Caenorhabditis elegans: one gene and its partner. The protein of the gene in region 1 purifies or fractionates together with the protein of each later gene. This does not show direct contact. Each region holds a gene or a part of one and is shown in the gene's direction. Other genes may lie near its edges. The genes, in order: src-2 and zig-10.

Evidence for each region.
Region 2: the proteins of src-2 (region 1) and zig-10 purify together in Caenorhabditis elegans (affinity purification with western blotting, with the first as the bait; one study listed by BioGRID). This does not show direct contact.

What each region holds. Positions count from the first base shown.
Region 1 is NC_003279.8:14,320,228-14,328,370, forward strand, and holds the start of src-2 (Tyrosine protein-kinase src-2), read left to right. Parts: upstream 1-2,009; 5' UTR 2,010-2,059; coding exon 2,060-2,305; intron 2,306-2,353; coding exon 2,354-2,475; intron 2,476-3,335; coding exon 3,336-3,457; intron 3,458-4,242; coding exon 4,243-4,440; intron 4,441-5,075; coding exon 5,076-5,146; intron 5,147-6,801; coding exon 6,802-7,065; intron 7,066-7,124; coding exon 7,125-7,413; intron 7,414-8,143. UniProt on the Caenorhabditis elegans protein: Non-receptor tyrosine-protein kinase which may play a role in larval and pharynx development. Unlike src-1, does not play a role in embryonic development.
Region 2 is NC_003280.10:6,396,582-6,401,529, forward strand, and holds zig-10 (Ig-like domain-containing protein), read left to right. Parts: upstream 1-2,124; 5' UTR 2,125-2,127; coding exon 2,128-2,185; intron 2,186-2,848; exon of another isoform or gene 2,849-2,979; intron 2,980-3,017; coding exon 3,018-3,460; intron 3,461-3,712; coding exon 3,713-3,890; intron 3,891-3,931; coding exon 3,932-4,221; 3' UTR 4,222-4,422; downstream 4,423-4,948.

The sequences.
Region 1 (8,143 bases):
CTGCAACTTTCCAGAATTTTCCAGAAATTCGCTCTTTTTTCTCAAAAAATTTGAAAAATTTTAATAAAAAGTTTACCGATCCAATGAAAGCTTAAATCCCTAGCCTGTTAATCAAATCTAATTTGATAATGACAGCTTCATCATCCTCTCTCTCTCCCTGTCCTCTCCGCGCGCAAAAAAAGATGTTTTCCCACCAGCGCGCGGGCGCCTCCGCTGCTGTCGAAATTGCCATTTTTGTAGGTCTGCGTCTCTTGGGATCAGTATGCTACCTGCAATTGGGAGTTTAAGGCACGCGCGTTCCGCAAATGTTTGCTAAACGGCGCGGCGGAGAGAGGGAGAGAGAGAGAGAGATGCCTGACCTCGGTGGACAAATAGTGAGAGGGATGAAGAGAGAATGAGACAAAAACAGTTCCCTCTTCTTTTTCACCCCAAAGACGGTGGGCTAGCCAGCAACCGGCTAAATGAATTTCTTTCCGGCTTTTGGGTTTTTTACCTAATATTTTGTATTTTCATAGTTCTTATTATACAATTTTCGCCAAAGATAGAAAATGTAGTTTTCCTTTTAGGTCCCCCAATTTTAGATTATACTACTACTTTGGAACATAGTTTTTAGGCCTTTTTTAAAAGATTTTTTAGCTTTGGCTGAAAAACTCCTGGAACTGGGAATTTTGGCCCAGAAAATTGTGACGTCAACACGTTCTTAACCGTGCGACAACAGTTGGCGCATTTTTTGTAGATCACACCGTTATGGGACACTCTGACACCTTGTCGGAATATTGTTAGCCTAAAAAACTTTGATCCCTAAATTTTGTTGCTCACTTTATTCGAGAGAAATTTCAGTTTAAATTCTAGGCACTGAAATTATAATAGTTCTCGATTAATACTATGAGTTCCTTTCCTGCTTTATTGTAACCTTTTAGCTTGAAATTTTACTTTAAAAACTGAATTTTCTACTCTAGAAGATTGATATATTGAAAAAGTTGTAACTCATATATTATAATTTAGTGCCAATTTTACGGTCAAATTTTTTGATTTTTATTAGCTGACAACTTTTCATATTTTTCAGGATAAAATAGATATAGTAGTAGTCCAGAAAGTTATTTTTATGGCTCCTAGAAATCCATACAACTCTTTATTGGGGCTAGATGTCAAAAAGTTGTCAACTAAAAAAATGTAGCAAATTTTATGCGTAATGTATTGTTAGTTGACAACTTTTTTATATTTATTAATCTGAAGGTGTTATAGTCGATTTAATACAGCTAGTTAGTCCTAGCTTGCCCCTGAAACCCCATAACGAAGAAATATAAGAAAATTTCGCATTAAGTATTTTATTGGTTCACAAGTTTTGTGTTATTTCTTTTTTGAAACTAGTCCAAAATTATTTTTACTTGACTGATCATCTTAAAAATTTTTGCAAGTTTTCTTGGGCCCTTTTTTTTAATCGCTTACAAAGAAATGCTCCAGGCTCCTTTAAATTGTGCAGCAGACATTTATCGCTGCATTTTTCCAAATTCCCACCTAAAGTTTCGCTAAAAATGAATTTTCTGGATTTATAAACCCTGTAGCTCCCCAGCGTGTCAAGTAGTCAGAAAGTTTTTAACTGATAAAACGAAGTAAGCTTTGAAATCTACAATTTTTTAGTTGACCACTTTTTGATATATATATATCAAAAAATAGATTGACATACCAAAAAATAGATTGGCATATCAAAAAATAAATTGGCATATCAAAAAACAAATTGGCATATCAAAAAACAAATTGGCATATATATATATATATATATTTAAACGATTCATGGCAGTTTAACGCCCACACCTATTTTGCCCTGGCTCCTGGAAACCCCTATAACTATAACTTTAATTGGTGCTAGTGTCTATCAAAATGTTGTCAACTCACAAGTTGTAGTAAATTTAATTTTTTTGATCTACAATTTGCTAATTGACAATTTTAAAACGCTATATTTTGTCCAGCGAACCCTAATGAACCAGAACTATCTAAATTTCTTCCAGAACCTCCCAAATCAAAAAACTGACGACACCAGGATCGTCCGTTCCTCCCCATGGGATCCTGTATTGGAAAAGAGGATCCACCGCCTGGTGCAACGTCACCAGTCCACACGTCATCCACGTTGGGAAGGGAGTCACTGCCAAGTCATCCACGAATTCCGTCCATCGGTCCGATTGCGGCGTCTTCCAGTGGAAATACGATTGATAAAAATCAGAATATCTCGCAATCTGCGAATTTTGTCGCTTTATTCCAATATGATGCACGGACAGATGATGATTTGAGTTTTAAGAAGGATGATGTTAGTTTTTTATTTTATTTTTTGAAACTCCATATCTCATTCTTTCAGATCCTTGAAATTCTAAATGATACCCAAGGAGACTGGTGGTTCGCCAGGCACAAGGCAACTGGACGGACTGGGTATATCCCGTCGAATTATGTTGCCAGGGAGAAAAGTATCGAGTCACAGCCGTAAGTTTTTTTTTTTTTGAATTTTTAGCCAGCCTAGGGAGAGAGGCCGGACTTGAACTTGTGACCTCCAGATTGCTGGTGGTTACCACTACCTACTGAGCTATCCAGCGCCTCTTTGTTAGTTGTCACAGGGGCTTGATCAGGTGTAACTAAAACTGTCATAACTCCTTTGGCTTGTGAGATACAAAAAAATTGTCAACTAGCACATTGTAGAGCAGAAAATTTCCTACATTTTGTTAGTTTAAACTTTTTTGATAGCTAGCACCAGTGAAGAGTTATAGCACTTTAGAGGTGTCAGCGGGGAATCAGAGCAGGCGTAGAAATGGTTCAACTCTTTAAGTGTATTTTTACCGGCAAAAGTTGTCAACTGACAAAATGTTAATTGTAAAATTTACTACATTTTCGTATTTTGAACCTTTTCAGTAACTTAATGTTTGTAGAGTTACATAGCTTTAACGAAATTTTGAAAAAAATAACATTTTTACGAAACTTAGAAAAATTCCAACTCACATTAAAACCTTAAAACTCGAATAATTTTGTAGTTCACTGGTAGTAGTACCTAAAATCAAGTACTTAATATTCCCTATATTTTGTTAGTTGGCGACTTTTTAATATTATAGCTAACACCATTAAAAAGTTATAGGGATTTCTAGAAGAAATCCGTGTAGGCCTTAAAACTATGATAACTTTTTAAAATTGATTGATATCAAAAAGTTGGCAACTAGCAAACTGTAGAACATAAAATTTGCTACAATTTAATAGTTGACAACTTTTTAATAGCTTGCTTTATTGCAGAGTTACAGGGATTCAAAAAATAAGATTTTAAAAATCCGAAAATCTAAATTTTTACAAATTTCCAGGTGGTACTTTGGAAAAATGCGGCGAATCGATGCGGAAAAATGTCTATTGCACACTTTAAATGAGCACGGAGCATTTTTAGTGAGAGATTCCGAAAGTCGACAGCATGATTTATCATTATCAGGTCAGTGAACTTTTAAGGGCGCCCCATAGGGCACATGGCGGGCGAAAACCGGTTTTCTGGGAGAGATAATCAAGGTCGGATACAACAAAATGAGAAAGGCGCGGTGACAGTAAGAGGCAGAAAAGAGGTTATCCCCGCTCGCCCCGACCTTTTATGATTCCGAAAGTAATGGGAATTTGGGAGAAAGGAGGCAAATTGGGAGATTTTGATGGGTTTAGATGGGTAATTTGGGATGGGGGAATTTAGATGGAAACTGTCAAAAATAGATGGAATATACATAGATGTTTATTTAATTTTTAAAACTTTTTTTAAAAAATTCGAAAAATCATTTTCGATTTTTTTAAAAAAATTTTATTGAATTTTTTGCCAATAATTTTCTAATTTTTTAATAAATGTTTTTTGAAAAACTGATAGATTTCATTTTTTCTGAAAGTATTACAAAAAGTTTTTATCTTTATTTTCAATTTTACAATTCTGAAAAATTATAAAAAAATATGTATTTCGTGCTTTGTAGTTTGTAGTTTGTAGTTTGTAGTGTGTAGTTTGTAGTTTGTAGTTTGTAGTTTGTAGAAAACCTTTCAAAGCTCTTTTGAGAGTTACCAAAAAACGTTTTTTTGGGAATTTTGAATTTTTCAAATTTATAATATTTCAGTATTTTTTTTTCCTTTGTAACATTCCAAAAACTGTCAAAAAAAAAACAAACTCATCAAATTCCAAGTTTTCTTAAATTTGAAGATTGTAGTTTGTAGTCCAAAATCCCCCTATTAATCCCAATTTTCTTGCAGTCCGAGAGAACGACAGCGTAAAGCACTACCGTATCCGTCAACTGGACCACGGCGGGTATTTTATCGCCCGGAGGCGCCCGTTTGCCACGTTACACGACCTGATTGCACATTACCAACGAGAAGCCGATGGTCTTTGTGTGAATCTGGGAGCTCCTTGTGCCAAGTCAGAAGCCCCACAGACAACGACATTCACATATGGTAAGCTGGAAGTTTTTATGCCTGACAGGTGCCTACATCTGCCTAGATGCCTACTAGATACCTCGGTGCCTACTACATGCCTAGATACCTTTTTCATGCCTAGATACCTACGACATGCCTAGATACCTACTACGTGCCTAGATACCTACTACATACCTAGGTAACTGCTTGATGTCTAGATGCCTACTACATGTTTAGATACCAACTATATACCTAGGTAACTTATTGATGTCTAGATGCCTACCAAATGCCTTGATGCCTACTACGTGCCTATTAACCTACTACATTCCCAGATACCTACTGCATGTCTAGATACCTACTACGTGTCTAGATGCCTACCTGATACCTAGGTGCTTACTTAATGCCTAGATTCTTACCAAATGCCTAGATACCTACTACGTGCCTAGATACCTACTACTTGCCTAGATACCTACTACATACCTTGATACCTACTACATGCTTAGATACCTACTACAAACCTAGGTAAATCCAGTAGGCAAAAGGCGAACCTAATTCAGGCCAAAGTTGACTTAAAGGTAGGCAGGCATTATTGTGCCTACCTACTAGGCCAAACAATTCCAGGGACCCACAAGGCGCCCAGTTACCTTTAAAAATGTTCAAAATTCCCATTCCAGATGACCAATGGGAAGTGGACCGCCGTTCGGTTCGTCTCATTCGACAAATTGGAGCCGGGCAGTTTGGAGAGGTAAGCATCATCATTCTCTTTCGGTTGTTTGCTTATTCACGTTGCCTGCCTGCCCGCCAGCCCCACAGCCCGCCAAATAGTGTGCACAGGCTCATCCTCCTCCTCCTCCTCCTGTTGCCTATTCCGTTCGTGTTTGATGTATATTTGTGTGTGTGTGTGTGTGTGTGTGTGTGTGTGTATAGAGAATTGATGGAGAACGAGATAAACAGGAGAAGATATGCTAATTGAGTGGGGGTAAGGAGATGATCTTAGGGGAAAATTGCAGGGGGGGGGGGGGGGGGGTGGGTCCCCGATGCACCATGTGTAGCCCCAAATTACAATTGTTAGGGTAGAGCCTGAAAAATTTTAGGTTTTTTTGTAAAAAAAACCCCAAAAAATCGCATGAGCAAGAATTTTTCTTGATATTTCTAGGCGCACGGGGTTCTGGCCTTCCTTATTGATTTTTTCGCGCTCCATTGACCTGGACAACGCGTGGGAAAATCGTGCACTCCACACGGACAACTACAACAAGTTTTAAAACTAAAATCGAGCCGCGACGCGACACGCAACGCGCCGTAATTCTACCCCAGATATGGCCGATCCAAAATGGCCTTGTTCGGCAAACTCTTCCATCTCAATTTATGAGGGGAGCCAGAAATCCGTGTAGGCGCTACTTTACACTCAAAATAAAAAAAAACTGCGTGGCGTGTACTGCAGAAAACCTAATATTTAGGCCCCGCCTTTCTCTCGTCCACTTACGGAGAAACGGCAAAAATTTTGACCCCAACCAATATCAGGCCGCCAACATCTCACGGGTTCCGCGCGTCGCTGCGTTTAACTCGCAGCGGGCGGAGACAGCTCGTCACGCCCACAGCAAGTTAAACGCAGCGGCGCGCGAAACCCGTGAGATGTCGGCGGCCTGATATTGGTTAGGGTCAATATTTTTGCCTTTTCTCCGTGAGCGGACGAGAAAAAGGCGGGGCCTAAATATTAGTTTTTTATTTTGAGTGTAACTCCCAGAAACCTCTCAGCCTATGGACTAAAAAACTTCAGGCTTTTATTTTTCCGTGTTTTTCTTAATCCAGGGGCTTTTAGTGTAGATCCTAAAACAACCGGATAAAACGGTTTCCCCTTTTTCTATTGACTTTTCCATCTCCTGATCCGAGCAGCTACAGCCGCCAATATTGAAACAGATAGGACCGGTTTGAAACATGATATCACTCCCCTACAAACATCAGTTCCGCTAGGAGATCTCATAAAACGAAGGGATCTGGAACATAGAGATTTACCACTAGGGTTATAAGGAAATGTCGATGCACCATGAGTAAAAACTCAACCTCGAATATAGATAGCAAGGCCCTAAAATGAATGACAAATGTTCTCATTAGAGCGCACTTAAATTTGCAAGCATGAACGAAAATATGAGTTTTGTAAGAAATTTAATCTATGAAGCTTCAAAACCATGCGAAAAATGGCTAAACATACGAAAATTCTTACTACAGCTTACTAAAGTGTGTGTTTGAACTTTGAACTTTTTACCTAACCCCGCCCCCCCCCCCCTTATGCTTGCATGTTTAAGTGCGCTCTAGTGAGAACATTTGTCATTTTTTAATTAGAGCGCACTTGCAAATCAGCTTGCAGATCCTGGATGTACTACATAAACCATCAATTTCCAGGTATGGGAAGGCCGATGGAATGTGAACGTCCCCGTCGCTGTGAAAAAGCTAAAGGCCGGAACCGCAGATCCTACGGATTTCCTAGCCGAGGCACAGATTATGAAGAAGCTCCGGCATCCGAAGCTTCTGTCCCTGTATGCAGTCTGCACACGTGATGAGCCGATTCTTATAGTCACCGAGCTAATGCAGGAGAATCTGCTCACATTCTTACAGCGACGAGGTCGGCAGTGTCAGATGCCTCAGCTGGTGGAGATCTCGGCGCAGGTGAGGTTCACGTTCGGATTCCTCGAAATTAAAAAAAAATTTCAAAAAAAGTTTTGCAGGTTGCCGCTGGAATGGCCTACCTAGAGGAGATGAATTTCATCCATCGAGACCTAGCAGCACGAAACATCCTTATCAACAACTCCCTATCTGTAAAAATCGCAGATTTCGGGTTAGCCAGGATATTGATGAAGGAGAACGAGTACGAAGCAAGAACCGGAGCACGGTTTCCGATAAAATGGACGGCGCCCGAGGCGGCGAACTATAATCGATTCACAACCAAGTCGGATGTCTGGAGTTTTGGAATCCTGCTCACCGAGATTGTCACGTTCGGACGGTTACCCTATCCAGGTGAGGATTTGAACCGACCCGTTTGATCTACACGAATTGCGGAAATTTAGGCGCAGACTTTTCAACTGATTTCGCATGGTTAAGAGTGTGCTGACGTCACCATTTTCTGGGAGAAAAATTCCCGCATTTTTTGTAGATCAAGCCGCAATGAGACAGCCTGACACAACGTAAGATGGTCTCATTGCCGCATGACCTCCAGAAGTGGCGGGAATTTGAATTAAAAATTTTGACGTCATATGAGCTTTTTTGAAAACTAACATCCCGCCTTTTATTGAGGTCAAATTATTTTTTTTACAAAATGGTACCAGTTCGCTAATTATAAAAATTAAGTCCCTTATTGAAGGGGCCTTGAAAATTTCGCAAAACTTTGGGAATAGGTCGCGTCAACTAAAATGTGGAATATTCCTGCGCCCTTCGCCGTTTGATCTCCGGGAATCGCGGAAAATTCAAATTTTGAAAAATGCGATGTAGCCTAAGTTTTACTGTAGAACGTGGTGTCAGAGTGTCCCATTTCGGTTTGATCTACGTAGATCTACAAAAAATGCGCGGAGTTGAGACGCAGAGTTCTAAAGTGATTTTTAGAACGAAAAACTCCCGCATTTTTTGTTGATCAAACCGTGTAGTACCCCAGAAACACGCCACACATTTCAAAAAAGAAATTTCCCGCCATTTCCGGAGGTCACACGAGCACATGGTGTCAGGCTGTCCCATTGCGGTTTGATCTACAAAA
Region 2 (4,948 bases), on another chromosome or scaffold:
CTCTCTTTCCCGTCATTCTCAATTCATCTAGTTTCCGACAATTATACGATTATTCTGCATCAGTTTATATGTTCTTTTTTATTTCAACGATTGAAAGAAACAAAAAGTTAACCCTCTGGAAGTAGCTACTCATTTTTATAACAACATTGGTATTCGACTCTTCATTTTCCTTGGACACACACACATTTGTCTAATTAGCTTCCAGTAGGATGCCCGAGTTGTTTGGCGGAGAGACTCACTCCGGAGAAGAAAAAGAAAAAAGAACATTTCATTTTCTTGCACGCCACTCAGCGATGCTCACTTTTTTTTGGCTTTCCGTGACAGCTCCAGATTTCCTTTTCCTTTGTTTTTGTTTTTTGTTTCACGACTCGATTTGAACTTGACTCGATTTTAGTTCTTTTGGATATAGATTTACAATAATTGATTTATGTACAGTCTTCAATTAAAATCGTTTTGAAAATTACTCTTCATTACGAAAAACTCAAACTCGAACCTAAAAAGGTGAAGCAAAATTCCCATAATTTTGATTTAAGAGGTTTTAAATCGCACTTGCTGCTACTTTTTCTTTAAAATTTTATATGTTTCTGCTTTGTTCAAGAAAATAATAATGTTTCAATGCCAAAAAAGTTTTACCTATTGCTACAAACACCTATTTTTGCGCAAAAAATATTGCATTCCAACAAAAATCAGATTATGACATTATAACACAACAAACATTTTCATGACTACTCTACTATTTTTTTGGATATATTTGGTTTGGAAATCTTGTTTGTTTATTTTTAGTTTTCTCTCATTTTTTAATTGTTCAGCTGTTTTCCATGAATTTACTATTTTTTCAGAATCTGTTCTATTTTCAATTTCAAGCAAATTTTTCGAAAAACCTTTCTCGATACATCTATCACGCTTTCTATTCGTTTTTCATCCATCTTTTTTGGAAGCTTCATTCCAAAAATCCTATTAACATATCCGGCGCATCAAGTACGAAAAGTGTGGAACATGCTTTCTCTAAACCTCTCATTCTCACACACTATTCTCATACTTACCATTCGACTTTTGCCTCCTCCGTTTTATGATGTACTAATGTAATGGTTTATTACTGTATGCTTAGTAGATATATACATGCTTCCTCACTCATTTTTATCTTCTTTTTTCTCCCAAATCTACTGATATTATAGGCATTTTATTATACCAGAATTCATGTTTGAAAACTTGAAAAGGTGAAAAAAAAAGAAAAAAGCTCGCAACAATTGTTTGTTTTCTCAACTATTCAATTCTATTAGATATCCTTCCGAACTTTTCCGTTAGGTAAACATAAAAATTATGAAAAAGAATAAGGATTATACTTACCTTTCTAGAAGAATCTGGACCTCTCAAATATCATGGCTTTAGGAGTTTAAAAAGAAATATCAAAAAAGTTGTCATTTTGAGTCTACCTACGTTGAAATTTTCTTGAAAAAGTTACAATAAAATTAAAAATCAAACGGTCAAAATCCAAGTTTTTTCCATTATGGTAGGTAGGAACGGCTCCTAGCTTTTTTTGTTGGTAGGCATATATATGGCATTCATGCATTATTATGCTTATGTGGACAGATAGAGACTATTTCGCTGGGCCATTTTTGCCGAAAATGTATTATTTTTTGTGTTAAATGGGTTGTTGTCCGTTCCCACACACTAATCTTCTTGGAAAATATCTTTAAAATATTCTAATGAATGCTCCAATGTCCTAATGGAAAACACCCTCATAAACGAATTCCTTCCTCCAGTTGGAGGGTGTTTTTAAAATTTTGTCTTCCACTTACTGTAAACATTGTAAAAAGAAGTAATATCAAAACAAATACACATCGCTTTTTATGGTTTTCATTTTATATATTTTTTGGATAATAGTGTCAAATTCCAAATGTTACAAGAGTACCTCCATGCCCATCTGATTAGCATCTTTCTTTGTTCGCCGATGACAGATGACCGAATATGGGACCCGTCGTTCTCAGATTTCTCAGATTTCGAACGGCGATCTCTTGACACGTACCGTATTCAACTTTTCTCCCTTATTTCCAACGTATTGTCTTCTTTTTAATTATAAATATCCTGCTCTACTTATTATTTTTATAATTTGTAAATTTACAGGAAATGGGCCATTTTCCACACTATCTGGTATTGCTCTTGATCCTCATGATTGCATTATCTGGTTGGTTTTATTTTTACCGTCAACCGGCTTTCCATATTTTTGCCTCCAAAAGGCTTAATTGACGAGATGCAAGAGACGGAGTTAAATCGCTTTGACACCCTATAATTTTCGGATTCTCGCGCATGCGCTAATGGACGCTCAAAAACATATTGCTTTGACAGACTGGAGTGAGATACATCTCTAATTGCCCAACGAATGAGGCTTTTTTGAAAGTTTTAGCGGAAATAGTTTTATATGGAAAAGATGTTTTCTTTAGAAAATATTTTAAAAAATTAAAAAATTTTCTGATTGTACGAGAGACTAGATTGGGAAGAAATCATTTTAAATCAATTAAATGGTATGGTTTTTTGGTAAGAAAATGATAGTATGGATTTTTAAATGTTGTTTTAACTGTAAAACATGAAAATTATTCGGTTTTTGACATACATAAATTGTTGAGTATGAGGTTCAAATTACAATATTTCAAAGTTTTGCATTAAAAATAGTAGAATTTCAAACATGTAACTAAACTCTAAATTTCTCCAACATCCAGATATGAGACTGCTAAATGTTTGACTGAAAATATTGATTAATCTTAAACATTTTTAGTTTTACTAGAATATTATTTCGAAAAATTGAGAAAAACTACACACAGTTCACTTTTTGATACCGGAGAAGCTTATGAAGGATATGATACTAGATCCCATAAAAAGGCGACAACCTCATCCTTCTTTCTCCCACATGTCGCCAGTCGGCACCGTCCATAAAACATAAAATGCTTGTATTTGTGACCTGTGAGGCGCCACGCATTCTCATTTAAGTGTCCATTTCGTAACTTTCTCCTTTCTTTCAGAAACAATTCACACTTTGGCCCCAAAAAAGGCGCCAACCGAGCGGTTAGTACCCATTGGATCGACAACTGCACTGGAGTGTGAACCATATACATCTTCAAATGTCACTTGGTATCGTGATAAACATGTCATTGCAACAGTTGAGGGACATAAGAATGCAATACTGAATGAGAGGAAGCCACGTGGAGGAGAAGAAAGGATACCTGAAATTGGATTTCTAGTGATTTTCGATGTTCAAAAAGAAGATGAAGGAAATTATTACTGTCAACGAGAAAATGATTCGAAATGGGGAGAAGTGTTCCAGTTGAAAATTGCATATGTTGATGAAATATCACAAAATGAAAAAATAAAGTTGGAGCCAAATGTGCCAACACTTGGAAGGTCTTTGGTACTACATTGTCCGATTCCAAAAGCATATCCGCCTCCGAAAGTTACGTGGACAGTGGTAAGTAGTAATGGTTTAGTCCTAGAGTTGGCAAGCCGGACTGAAACAAATTTCCATTATCTTAAATTTGGAAATCGATGAAAAAAGTATTTCCAAATTATTTTATATCCTTCAGATGTTCAAAAATACAATATTTCCAAAAACCTAAAAAAGTAATCATAATTTGTTTTCATCCGAAACACATTGAATTTAGTTTCTAAAATGAAAAGGAAAGTTATAGTTAATTAACTATCCTTAAAGAATATTTTTCAGAACTCGCTTCCAATATCACACATATCGTCTGATTATGTGGCATTTCCCAATGGAACACTCATCATATCACACTTCTCATATCATCACTTTGGTTATTTTGAATGCAATATAAACAATTTTGCTGGTCACGCTTCTACGAATACATTCATTGATTCTAGAGAATTGGTAGCGAATCTAGGTAAACTCCCCTCTTAAATGTCGTGCAACTATTGTTTTCAGAATCTTTAAAACCAACATTTGTGAATGGATGCTCTGCAGCTCTTCGTAGCTCTCTCTTTATGTTCCTTCTTGGATGCCTTATCACATCTGGTGCAGTTCTAATTTATCTCATTTGTGCTGTGTGTCTACTAAAACCAGGACGACCTCGTCGAGTACTTCGTCCAACTTTTTGGTCGAGAACAGATCCTCGGTTAGCTCCTGGATTCCGAAAAGCTGTTGTTCCTCTTCCAGATTGTTTTGTAAACGCCCGAATGTTAACTCCTCCAGTTCAAAATCCATTGATTACATAGATTTTCGATTTTATTATACTTTCGAATTTAGAAACTTGTAGTCCGATCTTTCTGTACATCCAGTGTTGCCACGTTCAAACTTTTCAGGGATTCAATTGTTTAGTTTTGTATCATTTTCAATGTATTTCAATCAACGGGTCATTCTACATGTAATAGTTTTTTCTTCAATTTTTATATCAATATATCAATAAATTTAAACTTTAAAGTTAAAATTGGTTGAAAATGAATATTACTGACTTGCGAAACGACAGGAACTTTGAAAAAATTTTTAACCTCGATGAACTTCACGGCAACGGCAGAGGTAGAACAACGGATTATCCACAGAATACGACGGATATTTAAAAAATGTCTAAAATTTATCTCACAATGGAGTTCCGGATCTATTACAGAAACCATTATTAGCTGTGAACAAAAATATACAAATTTAATGTTAATATCTCATTTTCAAAATACTTACTTCCGTTTAGCAATAATTTAGATAAATGACTGTCATACTATTATATAAAGCATTGTTTCCTGACAAGAATTAGTAATTTAAAATTATTGTCATGTTTACTCTTGCTAAAATCTTTAAATTACATTTATAAAGTTAATTCGTTCTATATCGGTCTAAAAAATAACACACCTTGAAACTGTTTAAGGTGGAAATTGCAAGAAAAATATATATTAGTATTTCAAGATATGATGCTGAAATTTGGGCACTTCTTTCCTTTTTGTTGATAGCATA